2 linked regions of the Pelodiscus sinensis genome follow. The protein of the gene in region 1 interacts with the protein of each later gene in a pairwise test. Links are inferred from orthologs where the notes say so. Each region holds a gene or a part of one and is shown on either strand. Other genes may lie near its edges.

Region 1 (7,901 bases):
GGCACAGAAACGATCCCCGGATTTCTGCAACCACATCCACGGAGGCAGTGACCCGCAGATACGAAGCAGGAAGCCGCGGCCCGGCAGGAGACAGGCTCCTTGGAGAATCCGACCCAATGACCTGAGGAGCAACGTGGAACCGTGCCGGGCGGGGGTGACTTACGCTCCTCCAGCTCTTCCTGCAATTCCTTGCTGCGCGCCTGGCTGTCCTGCAGCTCCTGGCTCAGAGCCTGCTTAGCTATGGCAAGACCAAGCGGGTTGGGGGGAAGGTGAGGAGAGAGAGAGAGAGACTTCTTTGGGGCTGGAGAGGTGGGGTGTGTAATGAGGAGGGGTGGATAGACGGAGGGGTGTACGTGGGGAGGGGTAGACAGAGGGGTTCCACGAGGAGTAACGGTAGTTCGGAATAGGAAGCCTAATCCGAACTACCTAGTCCGTGCCGCGTGTAGCCGTGGGCACAGAGTCCGAACTAGCGGACATTTAAAAATGGCGGCGCCCGGCAATATGCAAATGAAGCCCGGGAAATTCAAATCCCAGGCTTCATTTGCAACTTCGGTTGCCTACATTAACCACCCTAGTTCGAACTAGGGCGGTAGTGTAGACATACCCCTATTTAGCAATTCAAATGTTGGCGGGGACATGGGGGGCAGTGCTACGGTCCCGGCAATGAGGGTGCGGGGGAACAGGCTGTAACGGGAGCACTCTCCCTTCCCTTCCCCTCCCCTCCCCTCACCTCGCTGCAGTTTCCTGAGCCTTCCTACCAGGTCGTCCATTCGGGGCTCCAGTGTCCCTGCTGCGGAGGGAAGGGGAAGGGCTTGCCTGGTTGTGCTCCTGACAAGGGTCCTTCACCCCCAGCTCTTTGGAGCGTGCCCGGGGGGGAAGCGGTTATTCCTGGCTCCGCTTACGGAGGGGCAGGGGACTGAGACACAGAGAAGTCACACCGAAAGTCATGGGCAGAGCCAGGAAAAGAACAAGAGCCCCCCCCTTACAGACTCCAGGCTAGATGCCCCCCTCCTCCCAGAGCTGGGGAGAAAACCCAAGTGTCCTGGCTTGCAGGCCTCCCCCCCCGCCCCGCCTCTAGGTCCCACTCCTTTCCTAGACCTGGAGGTAGAACCCAAGAATCCCAGCTTCCCCCCCCCCCCCCCCACCCCAACCACTGGACCCTACTCCCCTTGCAGGGCCAGGTACAGAGCCCAGGACTCCTAGCGCCTAGCTGCCCCCCCCCCCCCCGACCAACGTGTCCCAATCTCCTTCCAGAGCTGGGGAGAGGACCCTGATTCCCGGTTGCTTAAACACCACACCCAGCTCGTGGGTACCATCCTGCAGTTGTTTCACCAGCACTAGCAGCTCCTCTGCCTTGGGCGTGAAGCTGCTGGGAACTGGGAAGAGGAAACAAAAAAATCAATTGCTTTGAGAATTCCCCCCGAGCCTGTAACTGGGGATTTACCCGCCCCCACAACGGGCTAGAGAAGGCATTGCAGGCTGGACTCGGCTTTATCCAGCCCAGGGCACGAGGGAGACGGGCACTGTGGGATTGCCTTGGCGCTAACCCCTGCTTGGTGGGAGGAAGGCATTGGGGGCTTGCTGGTCCCTGGTGGGGGCAACAAGGGTACCGTGGCCCAACGTGTGAGGGAGCAGGGCGCTGTGAGACGCCCCCTTGGCGTGAGGGAGCAGGGTGCTGTGGGACGCCCCCCGATGTGAGGGGGCAGGGCACTGTGGGGCACCGCCCTTGGCGTGAGGGGGCAGGGCGCTGTGGGGCGCCCCCCTTGGCGTGAGGGGGCAGGGCGCTGTGGGGCGCCCTCCGGTGTGAGGGAGCAGGTCGCTGTGAGACGCCCGCCCTTGGTGTGAGGGAGCAGGGCGCTGTGGGGCGCCCCCCTTGGCGTGAGGGGGCAGGGCGCTGTGGGGCGCCCCCCTTGGCGTGAGGGGGCAGGGCGCAGTGGGACACCCCCCACCCCGGTGTGAGGGGGCAGGGCGCAGTGGGACACCCCCCACCCCGGTGTGAGGGGGCAGGGCGCTGTGGGGCGCCCCCCTTGGCATGAGGGGGCAGGGCGCAGTGGGGCACCCCCCGGTGTGAGGGGGCAGGGCGCAGTGGGACGCCCCCCCGGTGTGAGGGGGCAGGGCACAGTGGGGCGCCCCCCCCTTGGCGTGAGGGGGCAGGGCGCTGTGGAACGCTCCCCCTTGGTGTGAGGGGGCAGGGCGCTGTGGGGCGCCCCCCTTGGCGTGAGGGGGCAGGGCGCTGTGGGGCACCCCCCGGTGTGAGGAAGCAGGGCGCTGTGGGGCGCCCCCCGGTGTGAGGGGGCAGGGCGCTGTGGGACACCCCCCTTGGCGTGAGGGAGCAGGGCGCTGTGGGACGCCCCCCCGGTGTGAGGGGGCAGGGCGCAGTGGGGCGCCCCCCTTGGCGTGAGGGAGCAGGGCGCTGTGGGACGCCCCCCTTGGCGTGAGGGGGCAGGGCGCTGTGGAACGCTCCCCCTTGGTGTGAGGGGGCAGGGCGCTGTGGGGCACCCCCCTTGGCGTGAGGGGGCAGGGCGCTGTGGGGCACCCCCCGGTGTGAGGAAGCAGGGCGCTGTGGGGCACCCCCCAGTGTGAGGGGGCAGGGCGCTGTGGGGCGCCCCCCTTGGCGTGAGGGGGCAGGGTGCTGTGGGGCACCCCTTGGCGTGAGGGGGCAGGGCGCTGTGGGACACCCCCCTTGGCGTGAGGGGGCAGGGCGCTGTGAGACGCCCCCCTTGGTGTGAGGGGGCAGGGCGCTGTGAGACGCCCCCCTTGGTGTGAGGGGGCAGGGCGCTGTGGGGCGCCCCCCTTGGCGTGAGGGGGCAGGGCGCTGTGGGACGCCCCCCTTGGTGCTATGTAACTGCCATGGGCGCCCTGCGCTGTGGGGCTGGAGCTGTGCCCCCTCCGCCCATCCCCCTCACTCTGTCCACTCCTCTCCATGGCCCTGTGTCCAGAGAGCTGGGGGGGCCTTAACACCTGCGCCTAGTCGCACCGCGGGTGGAAGGGGAAGCCTTGAAACTGCCCCTCCTACGCTTTTTTCCCGCCTTTTTCCAACGGCTGCTGCGGCCCCGCCCCCTCCGGGGCTCGTGCCGTGTTTTCCAATGGCTAGGGCCCCGCCCCCTTCCAAAGAGGAGGGGCTAACTGCTCGCTGGGGGAGGGGCTGGGAGACAGGGTTCCTGGGCTCTCCCCCTGGCTGGGGGGGGGGGGGGGCTGGGAGACAGGGTTCCTGGGTTCTCCCCCTGGCTGGGGGGGCTGGGAGACAGGGTTCCTGGGTTCTCCCCCTGGGTGGGGGGGGGGGCTGGGAGACAGGGTTCCTGGGCTCTCCTCCTGGCTGGGGGGGGGGGGGGCTGGGAGACAGGGTTCCTGGGTTCTCCCCCTGGCTGGGGGGGCTGGGAGACAGGGTTCCTGGGTTCTCCCCCTGGGTGGGGGGGGGGCTGGGAGACAGGGTTCCTGGGCTCTCCTCCTGGCTGGGGGGGGGGGGGGCTGGGAGACAGGGTTCCTGGGCTCTCCCCCTGGCTGGGGGGGGGGGCTGGGAGACAGGGTTCCTGGGCTCTCCTCCTGGCTGGGGGGGGGGGGGGGGCTGGGAGACAGGGTTCCTGGGCTCTCCCCCTGGCTGGGGGGGGGGGCTGGGAGACAGGGTTCCTGGGTTCTCCCCCTGGCTGGGGGGGCTGGGAGACAGGGTTCCTGGGTTCTCCCCCTGGCTGTGGGGCGGGGGGGCTGGGAGACAGGGTTCCTGGGCTCTCCCCCTGGCTGGGGGGCGGGGGGGCTGGGAGACAGGGTTCCTGGGTTCTCCCCCTGGCTGTGGGGCGGGGGGGGGCTGGGAGACAGGGTTCCTGGGCTCTCCCTCTGGCTGTGGGGCGGGGGGGGCTGGGAGACAGGGTTCCTGGGCTCTCCCCCTGGCTATGGGGCGGGGGGGCTGGGAGACAGGGTTCCTGGGCTCTCCCTCTGGCTGTGGGGCGGGGGGGGGCTGGGAGACAGGGTTCCTGGGCTCTCCCTCTGGCTGTGGGGCGGGGGGGCTGGGAGACAGGGTTCCTGGGTTCTCCCCCTGGCTGTGGGGCGGGGGGGGGGGGCTGGGAGACAGGGTTCCTGGGCTCTCCCCCTGGCTGGGGGGGGGGCTGGGAGACAGGGCTCCTGGGCTCTCCCCCTGGCTGGGGGGGGGGGGGGCTGGGAGACAGGGTTCCTGGGCTCTCCCCCTGGCTGGGGGGGGGGGGGCCTGGGAGACAGGGTTCCTGGGTTCTCCCCCTGGCTGGGGGGGCTGGGAGACAGGGTTCCTGGGTTCTCCCCCTGGCTGGGGGGCGGGGGGGCTGGGAGACAGGGTTCCTGGGCTCTCCCCCTGGCTGGGGGGCGGGGGGGCTGGGAGACAGGGTTCCTGGGTTCTCCCCCTGGCTGTGGGGCGGGGGGGGGGGCTGGGAGACAGGGTTCCTGGGCTCTCCCTCTGGCTGTGGGGCGGGGGGGCTGGGAGACAGGGTTCCTGGGCTCTCCCCCTGGCTATGGGGCGGGGGGGCTGGGAGACAGGGTTCCTGGGTTCTCCCCCTGGCTGTGGGGCGTGGGGGGCTGGGAGACAGGGTTCCTGGGCTCTCCCTCTGGCTGTGGGGCGGGGGGGCTGGGAGACAGGGTTCCTGGGTTCTCCCCCTGGCTGTGGGGCGGGGGGGGCTGGGAGACAGGGTTCCTGGGCTCTCCCTCTGGCTGTGGGGCGGGGGGGCTGGGAGACAGGGTTCCTGGGTTCTCCCCCTGGCTGTGGGGCGGGGGGGGGGCTGGGAGACAGGGTTCCTGGGCTCTCCCCCTGGCTGGGGGGGGGGGCTGGGAGACAGGGTTCCTGGGTTCTCCCCCTGGCTGGGGGGGGGGGGCTGGGAGACAGGGTTCCTGGGTTCTCCCCCTGGCTGGGGGGGGGGGGGCTGGGAGACAGGGCTCCTGGGTTCTCCCCCTGGCTGGGGGAGGGGCTGGGAGACAGGGTTCCTGGGTTCTCCCCCTGGCTGGGGGGGGGGGGGCTGGGAGACAGGGCTCCTGGGTTCTCCCCCTGGCTGGGGGAGGGGCTGGGAGACAGGGCTCCTGGGTTCTCCCCCTGGCTGGGGGGGGGGACTGGGAGACAGGGCTCCTGGGTTCTCCCCGTAGCTGGGGGGGCTGGGAGACAGGGTTCCTGGGTTCTCCCCCTGGGTTCTCCCCCTGGCTGGGTGGGGGGGCTGGGAGCCCAGCCTCCTGAGTTCTTTTCCTGGCTGAGGGCTATGGAGGGGAGCAGGGAGCCAAGATTCCTGGGTTCTCCCCCTGGCTGTGGGGGGGTCTCTACTCAGTTTGGGGGTCCCAGTGGGTTAGAGCAGGGAACCATAGGCAGCTACCCTGGAGCATGGGACCTGCAGCTGCTCCTCCCTTGTCCCAACACCAGGCTAAGCTCATCCCAGCCTTCTGTGACAGGGCTAGATTACATCCACGCTCCCCCACATAGGACATCTCCAGTGGTCCTTGAGCTCCACCATGAAGGCAGGGTCCTGGGAGGATGTGCTAGTGGTTAGCAGCCTGGGAGACTCCCCCATAGAGAAGGGCCATAGCTGGGAGGGAGGGTAATTGGCTTGGGAAGATGGTACGGGATAGGGAGCTCTAACGACTGGCAGGGAACGAGCGATGCGCGAGGGCTGGCAGTGACTGGACAGAGGCCTAGCCTGCTCCTGTACCTCAGTGGCCCGACAAGTGCAGGAGCCTGAGCTAGGCAGCTGGCCATTGCTTGTTTCTGCCTCCCCAACCCGTGCAGATAGATTCCTGGTGCATGGAGCCCGGGGGTGGATAGCGGACCAGACCTCTCCAGGCAGCAGCTGCCTTCCTTGCACAGGCCCATCTCCTTCTGCAGAGCCCATGCACACAGCTTACAGCATGGTGTGAGCGCGAGCTGCATCTTAAAATAACAGCCGGGAGGCTCGCCTGGGTATTTTGGACTCTGGTTGGGTCCATGCTTCTATTTCCAATGTTGTAGTAGCAAGGTTAACTTGCTAGCGCAGCTGGTAGCTTCGTTTCTGCACAACAGCTCTCTCTGCACCACATCAGCACACACAAGAGTCAAGTAACAGCCTGCGGTCCAGGGTGCAATACCCCAGAAAAAACAGCTGTGAATAAGAATCGGTCATAACCTTTCTACCATGCCTTGCTGCGCTCCTTCCCTCTTCAAGAGCGGCTGAACTTGCTGCCTGTTATGTGCTCCTTATGGGAGACAGAGCGACCGTGTGCTAAGGACTGACTGGCAAGATGAGCCCCAGCTGCCATAAAGTTGCATACCTCCATCGCCAGCAGTTCACACGTGAAACGACAGAGGTTTGGCCCAAAAGACACAGTTCGCTGCTGGAACTAGTGCCCGATTTATCTCCAATTTGTGTACCTCTCCCTTCTGAATGAGCCCAGCAGCTGCGGAAGGAACACAGCCCACAGCAGGTATAATACTTAGATATGAATAACCACCTCTGCACCTGTAACTAAGTGGAACACACAGCGAGAAGAAAAGAGGCTCCTGGAGGAGAAAAATGAGTGCAGCGAATTTGGAATCACATCTTGCCTTGCTCGCCCCTGTCAAAAAGAACGGGGCTGACGGGATGGAAAACGCCAACCTCAGGCAGAGGGTTAGTGTGACAACGTTTGGGGCAAGCTCATCTGTGAGCCGACATATATCCACAGGTGAGCGTATTAAAATCGACACAAGACCTCTGGTGTGCATCCACAGCTCCCTATAGCAGAAATCCCAACACAGCTAGTATTTAGAAAGCACCAATTCCTCCTCCTCATGGCTACAGCCTCCGTGCTGGCTAGCAAGCAAGGCAGATACACCCTCATCAAAACAACTTTTTAATAAGACTTTGATTCTCAGTTCCACAAGCCAGCCAGGAAGAGACCTCATTTGACAGCCAGCCACGCCGGTTCCAGGCACAGCGCCTCATGCATGTGAAAACACTTTCCACTTCCCCAACCCCGCCAGGTCTCCTTGGAGCAGCTAGATGCAAGTGAAAGGAGATGCAGGCAGGGCTCGCTCTCCGGAGACATGGGGTGATCTTCCTGGGTGAAGCAGATCCCACAGATTCTGGCTCGAGCCCACGGCTGAGGCCCCAAACAGCCCTTCTAGCAGCCCGGATGGACAACGAGACTGAAAAGAGCCAAGGGGCAGCCCATTTACCGTAAGGCAGGGCGCAGCTGTCACCAGCAAAGGAGAGAGGCAGTCTGTTGCTTTCAAAAAGCATTTTGAATCTTCCTGTGAAAGGATCTGCCTTTCCAAAAGGGAACATTAAATTAATACAGACCCCTGCATTGGTGCAGACATTAATACAGAGGAGAGTGCATTGGTGCAGACATTAACTAACACAACCAGCCCATGGAGAGAGAACACAACATGGGGGGCATCTCCCATTTCCGATTTACAGCATCGAGAGCAGCATGTGCGGGGGACGGAGAGGAGGAGATGAAGGAGTAATCTCCTTTCCACCGCACATATTGCCGTTTCCAGACACAGCGCCCAGTTTAAATCGGTTGGCAAACATGAGCCGCTGTTTCCAGACACAGCACCCAGCTAAATCTATTATCAAACATGAGCCACAGACCTCCAGGTCCTGCAAGAAATCTAAGTTCATTCCAGGCTAGGACACTTAAAGAGCAGAGAGTGTTAGAAAAATGGGTTCAAAGCAGGTCGGGCTCTGATGCCAAGAGATGCAATTAGCCACAATTCTTCCAAAGGAAGGAGAAACACAATTGCAACCCATTGCTTAGGGACCGGCAGCTGATCCACACTGGGAAGCAGAGAACAGAGGCTCCGGGGAAAGGAGCCAAGTACTAGAAGAAAAACTTCCGTCGAGGAGATGCCATACACAAACCCAGCTTCATCATTTGGGTGGAGTCCTTCAGCACAGGCCCTTCCCGTAACAGGCCACAGGAGCCAGTGTAAGCTTGTC
Region 2 (7,590 bases), on another chromosome or scaffold:
TTTTAAATGGGGTTGTGTAGTATCAACTTTATAGCCCTTCTGACTAAACACAGATTTTTTTGGAATGGCCATTGATTTCTCACCCATATGCTCTCTAAACATGGGTTTGAGCCCTAAAATAGGGAGCCTTAAAACAGTGCAACATTGTATCCTGGCAGGACAATGGATGTTCCAAAACCAGAGTCCTGGTAAAGGGCTGGTGGCAGCAGGGCTACCCGCCAGGACCAGGAAGCCAGCAGTAGGTGTGTGTGTCTGGGGAGGAGCGATGGAGACAGCTAAGACCACTGGCCAGGCCAGGGCTGGGGGGAGGGTCAGTGGCAGGGGGATGTGAAATGACCTCCCCATGTCTAGCAAAACCCCTCATCCTGAACCAGTCAGGTCCTGAGGGTGCCAGACCAAGGAGGTCCAACCTGTAGTGACATAAGATGCCTGACCTGTATGTGACTCAGAAGCTAGGCTTCAATTGCCCTTAAAAAGACACTTAGCCTATGTCTACACTGCCCTCTCTTGTGCAAAATATGCAAATGAGGAAAGGCGGTGAATATCACCACACCTCATTTGCATACTTAATGAGCCACCATTTTTGTGCAAAAATCCCCTCTTGAGCACGAGACAGTCTGCTGCTTTTTTTGGGAAGAACGGCTCTTGCACACAAGGGGGTTTTTGTGCAAAAAGGAGCCGTATAGACATCTCCTTTTTGTGCAAAAGCCCCATGCGCAAAATGGCAGCTCATTAAGTATGCAAATGAGGCACAGCAATATTCACCACTTCAGCTCATTTGCATATTCTCTTGCGCAAGAGAAGGCAGTGTAGGCATTGCCTGAACGTTTGTAATGGACTTTCATTTATTTATAACAAAATTAAAGTTTAGAAAGTTTGTTTAGGCACATCACTAATGGTCACTACCTTTCACAAAAACAGTGTTGGTTTTTTTTGTTTGTTTTTAAAATATCACCAAGGCAGTCCCTAGTAGGGTGTGGGGGCCCGGAAAAAATCAGCCTATTTCTAATCTGCTGGGGGGAGGGGAGGGAAGAGGGATGCTCCTTCTGACTCTGCCCAGGTCTTGCCCTGACTCCATTCCTTCCCCAGTGCCCCACCTCCACCCTGCCTCTTCCTAACCAGTTTTGCCCCCTCTCCCTTGCACCTCCTGACAACCTGAAACAGCTGATTCCTGGCAGGCAGTAGGTGCTGCAAGGGGCCTGGCAGTAGGGGGCAGGAAGAAGAGGCATTGACAGGGACTAGCCAAACACCCAACACTTTTTTTCTTCCTCTGAGTGCCTTAGGTTAAGAGCACCCACAGAGTTGGTGCCTATGTCTGCTATTGCCAGAGATTAAGCCTGAGCACTGCACAACATTCACACACAAAGGGCAGGAGTAGTTGTCTCAACTTGCCATACCCAAGGGACAGACCTAACTATCACACAGAAGTACACTGGAAACCAAATGCAAAGGAGCAGAGAGAACAGAAATGGTCTGATTTTGCCAGCTTGGGAGGAACTGCTTCAGCTCACAGATTTTAGCTGGGAATGAGCTCAGAGCAATGACACAAGACACTTTGAAGTTGTGCTCCCCAAACACTCTGACAGCCATTATAGCAGTAGTTCTCAAACTTTTTGGCCCACTGCCCACCCCTCTCAATGCAAACCTTTCTGTGGACCACTAGCCAACTACCCATGATACAAAATGGGTGCAGAAGGGGGTGGGAAGTATGAGGTCTGGGCAGGAGAGAGGGGCAGGAGTGGCCTGGGCTAGGGGCAGGGGTCTGGGCTAGAATGTAACAGTGTAGTCAATTAACTGATAAGCAAAAGCTTATAGGTTAACGCTATAGACTACACGCATTTCCCTCCCCTCCCAACCAGTAAATCTTTTAGCAGGTTGACCAGCAGCCCAGCTCAGTTCTGGCTCACACCGGGTCTGTGACTGACCACTGCTGTGGCTCTCCATTTAAAGTGTAGTAGGAGCCAGGAAGACAGGCAGCCCAACTCAGTTCTGGTTCGTGCTGGGTCTGGGAGCTCAGACCGCCCCCTGCACTTTTGTCTCTTTATCAGAGGCAGCAGCACAGGGCTACAAGCCGCCAGTCCACAAGCAGAACTGGTTTTTAAACTGGCTCCCCTCACGGATAGTCCTGCCTGGCACTCTGCACAGCTTCTGGTCCCGCCCCAGCGACTATAGAATAGTTGACCAAGCAAGAAGAATTCATGAGGTTATTCAACTAACTGATATTTAACATCCCTAGTCTGGGCAATGAAGGGGGTGGCGGGGCCACTTCCATGGCTCTATGCTTCCTACTGTTCTCAGGCACTGCCCCCGCTACTCCTATTTTTGGCCAGGATTCCGGCCAATGGGAGCAGTAGGGAAAGCCTCCAGGCAAGCTATTTCCAATGTTGCCATTCCCCCAGCAAGAGAGAGGGGGAGTGGCAGTGCACAAAGCAACTTCGTACCCATGTGCGCCAGATCCAGCCTAGGCGGCTCAGGGCACTCCCCTCTCCCACCCTCCCCGCGGCAGGGAGCCAGCGCTGTCACTCCAACCTCACAGGGGAGGGAAGGTGCGCGCGGCTGCAGCACCAGGGAGAGGGCCGGGAAGGAGGGAAGCGCTGAGGCCGCGGCCCACCTGCACCACCACGCGCCGGCGACTTGCCCCAGCGTTCCATGAGCGGCCCACGCGCCAGCGGCGGCGATTTCCAACTGGAGACACACGAGCTCGGGGCCAGCGTGACGTCACTGGCGAGGGGCGCGAGACGGCTGCGCGGCCACAAAACACCGCAGCGCAGCTCCCCGACCCAGGCTCTGGCTTCACAAGCGAGGATCGAGCCGCAACTGTCCCCCCCCCCCCCGCCGCGGGGAGCGAGAGAAGAGAAACCGCCATCGAGCCGCGTCACACAGCCCCGGAACGCTCTGCTGGGGGGCGGGGCTACCCCGCGGGGGCCACAGGCGAGGCAGAGGGGAGCAGCCCCAGGGGCAGGGTCTCTTCCAACCCCCGCGCCTGGGGGGGGGGGGGAAGAGGGAGCGACTGGCCCCCCCCCTGCCTGGGGGTGGGGAGGCCGCACCTTGGTCAGGTCGATGCCGGAGCCCACGAGGGGCAGCCCGTCCTCGTCCATCCCCCGCGGCCAGTCAGGGAGGCGCGGCGGGAAAACGCGGAACGAAGTCACCACTGCCCGCCCCGCCCGGAAGCCGCCAGCACTCCGAGCCGAGATTAACCTCTCCCCCCGGATACAAAACCCGCTCGGCTGGGCAGGTCCGGAGACTGGTAGACTAGCCTATTGTCCCGGCGCCTGCGCACACGCTACCGGAGACTGCGGAAACGCCCTTCCCCCTTCATCCCCCCCCCCATTGCATCATGGGAATTGTAGGCGGGAGGGGCAGCGGCTGGCTCTGACTCTTAAAGTGGGCTTCAGCGTTCTCTCCCGCCACGTGCCTGCTACGCTTTTCCCTTTAGTGCCATCTTGCGGCGCCCACTGCCTGCGGGGCGGTCACACGCTCGCTCCCCAGAGGTTGCGCGCCACACTTCCAGGTTTGGATTTTTTAACCCTTGTCTATTCCAGGAGACACGCTGGATTTCTTCAGCATTAATCCACAATGTGTACTGCTGACGCAGCTCCGCAGCCCTGCCAGGCTGTTCTGACGCTCCCACTGAATAACTTCTTAATAGTCATAGCATCACATTTAAGAGCACGAGTTAAATAAATAAAACCCCATGAGCCATAACTCCAGCTGCACAAATGCCATGAAATTACAAGGGAGGGACCTACACAGTAGGCTTTTTATGTGAAGGGGAGTGAGGAAAGGCGCACAGGCCCCAGTTCAGAGATCCATCCCTATTCAGCAAAGTGCTTCCATACATGGTGAATTTTAGGCTCATGTTTAAATCCCACTCACCTCAACAGGATGCATTCAGCATTTACAGGTGCCAAGTCCTGGAGCATTCATAGTCATTTTTAAATATACATGGAGTACCTAACACAAAGAGGTAGCTCAATATATTTGACAAATATAGCCGGGGCTGGTTGCATGTCTCCTGGCTGGGGCAGGACTAGGTTTATCTGCCCCCTGTGCTCCCCAGCCAGAGGGAGGAATGCAGCAAATTGTACTTTCCCCTTACTCCCTTATGAAGGGGAACAGCCAGCAATGTTCCCATTAGGGATGTTAAATATTGGTTAATTCAATAGTCGATTAATCTCATGAATTCTTGTCGGTTAGTCGACTATTCTATAGTCCCTGGGTGTGGGGCTGGAAGCTAATGTGCCTCCTCCCCACCCACAAGGATCCCTCTGCCACTCCATACTGCTGCCTCTGTATCAGTGGCAGCAGCGTGGGGTGCCAGGTGAGATCTGGTCCACAAGGAGAGAGTTTAAAAAACCAGTTCCCCTTGTGGAACGGCTGCCTGTTGCCCCGTGCTACTGCCTCTGATACAGAAGCAGCAGCGCAGGGTGGCAGCAGCTTTGTCCAGGGGAGGGGCTGAGCTTCTGGACCTGGCATGAACTAGAACTGAACCAGGCTACCTGCCCACCTGGCTCCTAATACACATCTAATGCAAAGCTGCAGCAGGGTAGGTCCTGGACTAGGCACAAGCTAGGACTGAGCTGGGCTGCTGGCCAGCCTGCTAAAAAATTTACCTGCAGAGGGTAGGGGAGGAATGCATGGGGGGAGAGGGGGAGGCTTTAGCCACCCCTCCAAAGGATGCCCTGAGGAGTGGGAGGCTCAGGGCTGGGGCAGTCCCAGAGGAGCGGGGTGCACTCCCAGTCAGCTCCTTTCACCTGTCTGGTGATTGTTTGTTTTCTGTATGGTTTTATGAGAATCAATCTCATTCCAGGCACATCCAAACACTTACCTTGCTGTAAGTTAGGATAAGAGGAAGCTGTATACTGAATTTGGTGGTCTTATCTCTTACCATTCAGGAGCAGTTCTTGAAGACAGACAGACAGAGATGAATAGACAGACAGACAGACAAACTCTCAAATATACAGTAGTCACCCAGTATCTATATTTATCAAATATATTGAGCTACCTTTGTGTTATGTATCTAATGTATCTTTCAAAGGTGACTATGAATACTCAAGGGTTTAGCACCTCTAAATGCTGGGTGCTTAAAATGGTGGATATGAAAAAAATTGACTCATTTTTCCCCATAGAGCTTCTGCATAACTAGAGTAAAGAGGGTTCAGGTAAGTCCTGAAAAGCAGTGACTTTGTAAAGAATTTAGATACTCCATCCAGCTGAACATGAGCTCCCAATGAAATGCTCTCTCTAACATAAACCATCAGTATTTGAACAAGGAAGTAATGAGTCTCAGTCTGTGTCTACACTGGCGCGATCTCGCACAAAAGCGGCCACTCTTGCGTAAAAACTTGTTGCCTGTCTACACTGGCCGCATGTTCTTGTACAAGTAAACTGACATTCTAATGTATGAAATCAGGGCTTCTTGCACCAGAACTCTGATGCTCCCGCTCAGGAATAAGCCCTTTTGCACAACTGTTCTTGCGCAAGAGGCCAGTGTAGACAGGCAACATGAATTTCTTGCGCAAGAAAGCCCGATGGCTAAAATGGCCATCAGAGCTTTCTTGCGCAAGAGAGCGTTTACATCTCTTGTGCAAAAGCACGTCAGTGTAGACTCTCTCTTCTGGAAGAGTTTTTGCACAAGAACTCTTCCGTAAAAGAGTTTTTGCGTGAGAACGCGCCAGTGTAGACGTAGCCTCAGAGGGGTAACTGTGTTGTTTTTACAATTACAGACTAGTGAGCATTCCTGTGGCACCTTAGAGACTAACGAATTTATTAGGTCAGATAAATTGGAGATGAAATTACAGAATTTGAGGTATATATAACAGCAAAAGAAGTTACCTGTCAATTGTAGGACCAGTGTTAACTAAACTAATTAAGTGAAGGTGGATGTGTTTAATTCACAGCATTTGATGTGTAGATGCAAATATCAAAAGTGGGGAAAATGCCTTTGTAGCGTGTTAACCAGTTAAGATCTTTATTGAAGCATAAGTTGGTAGCATTGAACTTGTAAATGAATTCCAGTTCAGCAGTCTCCCTCTGTAATCAGGTGATAAAATTCTTTTGTATAAGGATGGCTACTTTAAAATCCATTATTGAATACCCAAAGAAGTTAAAATGTTTTCTTACAGGTTTATGTGTATTACCATTCCTGATGTCTGATTTGTGTCTATTTATCCGTTGGTGCAGAGACTGTCTGGTTTGACCAATATACATGACAGAGTCATTGCTGGCATATATCACATTAGTTAATATGCAGGTGTATGAGCCCCCAAAGCTGTGGCTTACATGGTTAGATCCTGTAATGGTGTCATTTGTATAGATATGTGGACAGTTGGCAGCACAGTGGTGCTGAGGCAGCCTCCCTGCCTGCCCTTGCTCAGTGCATCTCCAGGAAACAGCCAGCATGTCCAGCACTGCCTTTGCCCCTGAACGTTGGCTCCATAGCTCTTATTGACAATGAACCATGGCCAATGGGAGCTGTGGGGGTGGTGCCTCCTCACTCCTCTGCCTAGGATCCAGAACAACATTTTGGCACTTCTGGGAACCACCTGAAGTATGTATCACCCAGCCAGAGCCTCACCCCAAACTTCTTCCCACATCCTAGCTCCCTTTCAGAGCTATCATCCTCATCTGCACCTTAAACCCCTCATTCCTGGCCCCTACCCCAGAGCCTGCGCCCCTAGATGGAGACTTCATCCCTTCCCATTCCTCAATCCCCTGCCCTAACCCAGAGCTTGCTCCTGCATCCTGAACCCTCCATTTCTGCCACACACATTCTCTCCCCCCCACCCCCCACCTGTATCCTCACCCAGAGCCGTCCCTCCCAACTCAGCCCTCTGCCTCAGCCAGGTGAGAGTGAGTGTGGGTGAGGGAGAATTAATGATGGAGGGAGGGGGATGGAACAAGTAAGAGGTGGGGCCTCAGAGAAGAGTCAGGATTTCAGAGAAGGGGCAAGGGACAAGGCAAGGGTTTGCATTTAGAAAGTTTGCAAACCTAGCAGGAATACAAAATTTGGGGAAACTTAACCTTCCCCAATTTCCATTACATGTCACCTATGTCCTAGATATTTCAATTTGAGAACTTAAAAGGAATGGACACGTAGCAATTTCAACCTTCCCAGATCCCTAGCTGTATAAGAGGGAGAATACCATCTTACTTCAGAATGGGGTTGTGAAGCTATATTGGTTAATATTCGTGAAACAGAAACTAAAGTGATGAACACTATAGAGCAGTGTTTCATAAACTTTTTAAGACTGAGGAACAAAATTTTTTTTATGAGGAACACCAAGGATTTTTTTGTTGAGCAAAAAAAAAGTCCAGGGGAAAGTTATTGAGCAAATAACTCCAGAACACAGTTTAAGAGCATATTATTAATTTTTTAGTTAGGGCAGGCTTTGGGTAGACTGTGTGTAACAAGGCCTGTGTCCACATATTGAATGTGGAGAAAAAGAAATATCAAATAGCTTACCTTTTACTGAATATGGCAGGGATGTCATGAAAAAAATAGTATGTGATTGTATAAATAGTGTTACAAAATATGTACTCACAAGGGAGGCACACTGAGGTTGCACACAATCTGAGTTCTGGCATTCT

Evidence for each region.
Region 2: the proteins of synaptonemal complex central element protein 1 (region 1) and WASHC3 interact in binary tests that used the Homo sapiens proteins (3 or more experiments, as listed by UniProt). The two-hybrid records come from large-scale screens. The link is inferred for Pelodiscus sinensis from reciprocal best matches to the Homo sapiens genes SYCE1 and WASHC3.

Annotation. Positions count from the first base shown.
Region 1 is NW_027465846.1:151,312-159,212, reverse strand, and holds the start of synaptonemal complex central element protein 1, read right to left. Parts: upstream 3,027-7,901; 5' UTR 2,926-3,026; coding exon 2,907-2,925; intron 1,377-2,906; coding exon 1,314-1,376; intron 791-1,313; coding exon 731-790; intron 239-730; coding exon 164-238; intron 1-163. UniProt on the Homo sapiens protein: Major component of the transverse central element of synaptonemal complexes (SCS), formed between homologous chromosomes during meiotic prophase. Requires SYCP1 in order to be incorporated into the central element.
Region 2 is NC_134711.1:99,545,346-99,552,935, reverse strand, and holds the start of WASHC3 (WASH complex subunit 3), read right to left. Parts: upstream 3,015-7,590; 5' UTR 2,867-3,014; coding exon 2,612-2,866; intron 1-2,611. UniProt on the Homo sapiens protein: Acts as a component of the WASH core complex that functions as a nucleation-promoting factor (NPF) at the surface of endosomes, where it recruits and activates the Arp2/3 complex to induce actin polymerization, playing a key role in the fission of tubules that serve as transport intermediates during endosome sorting.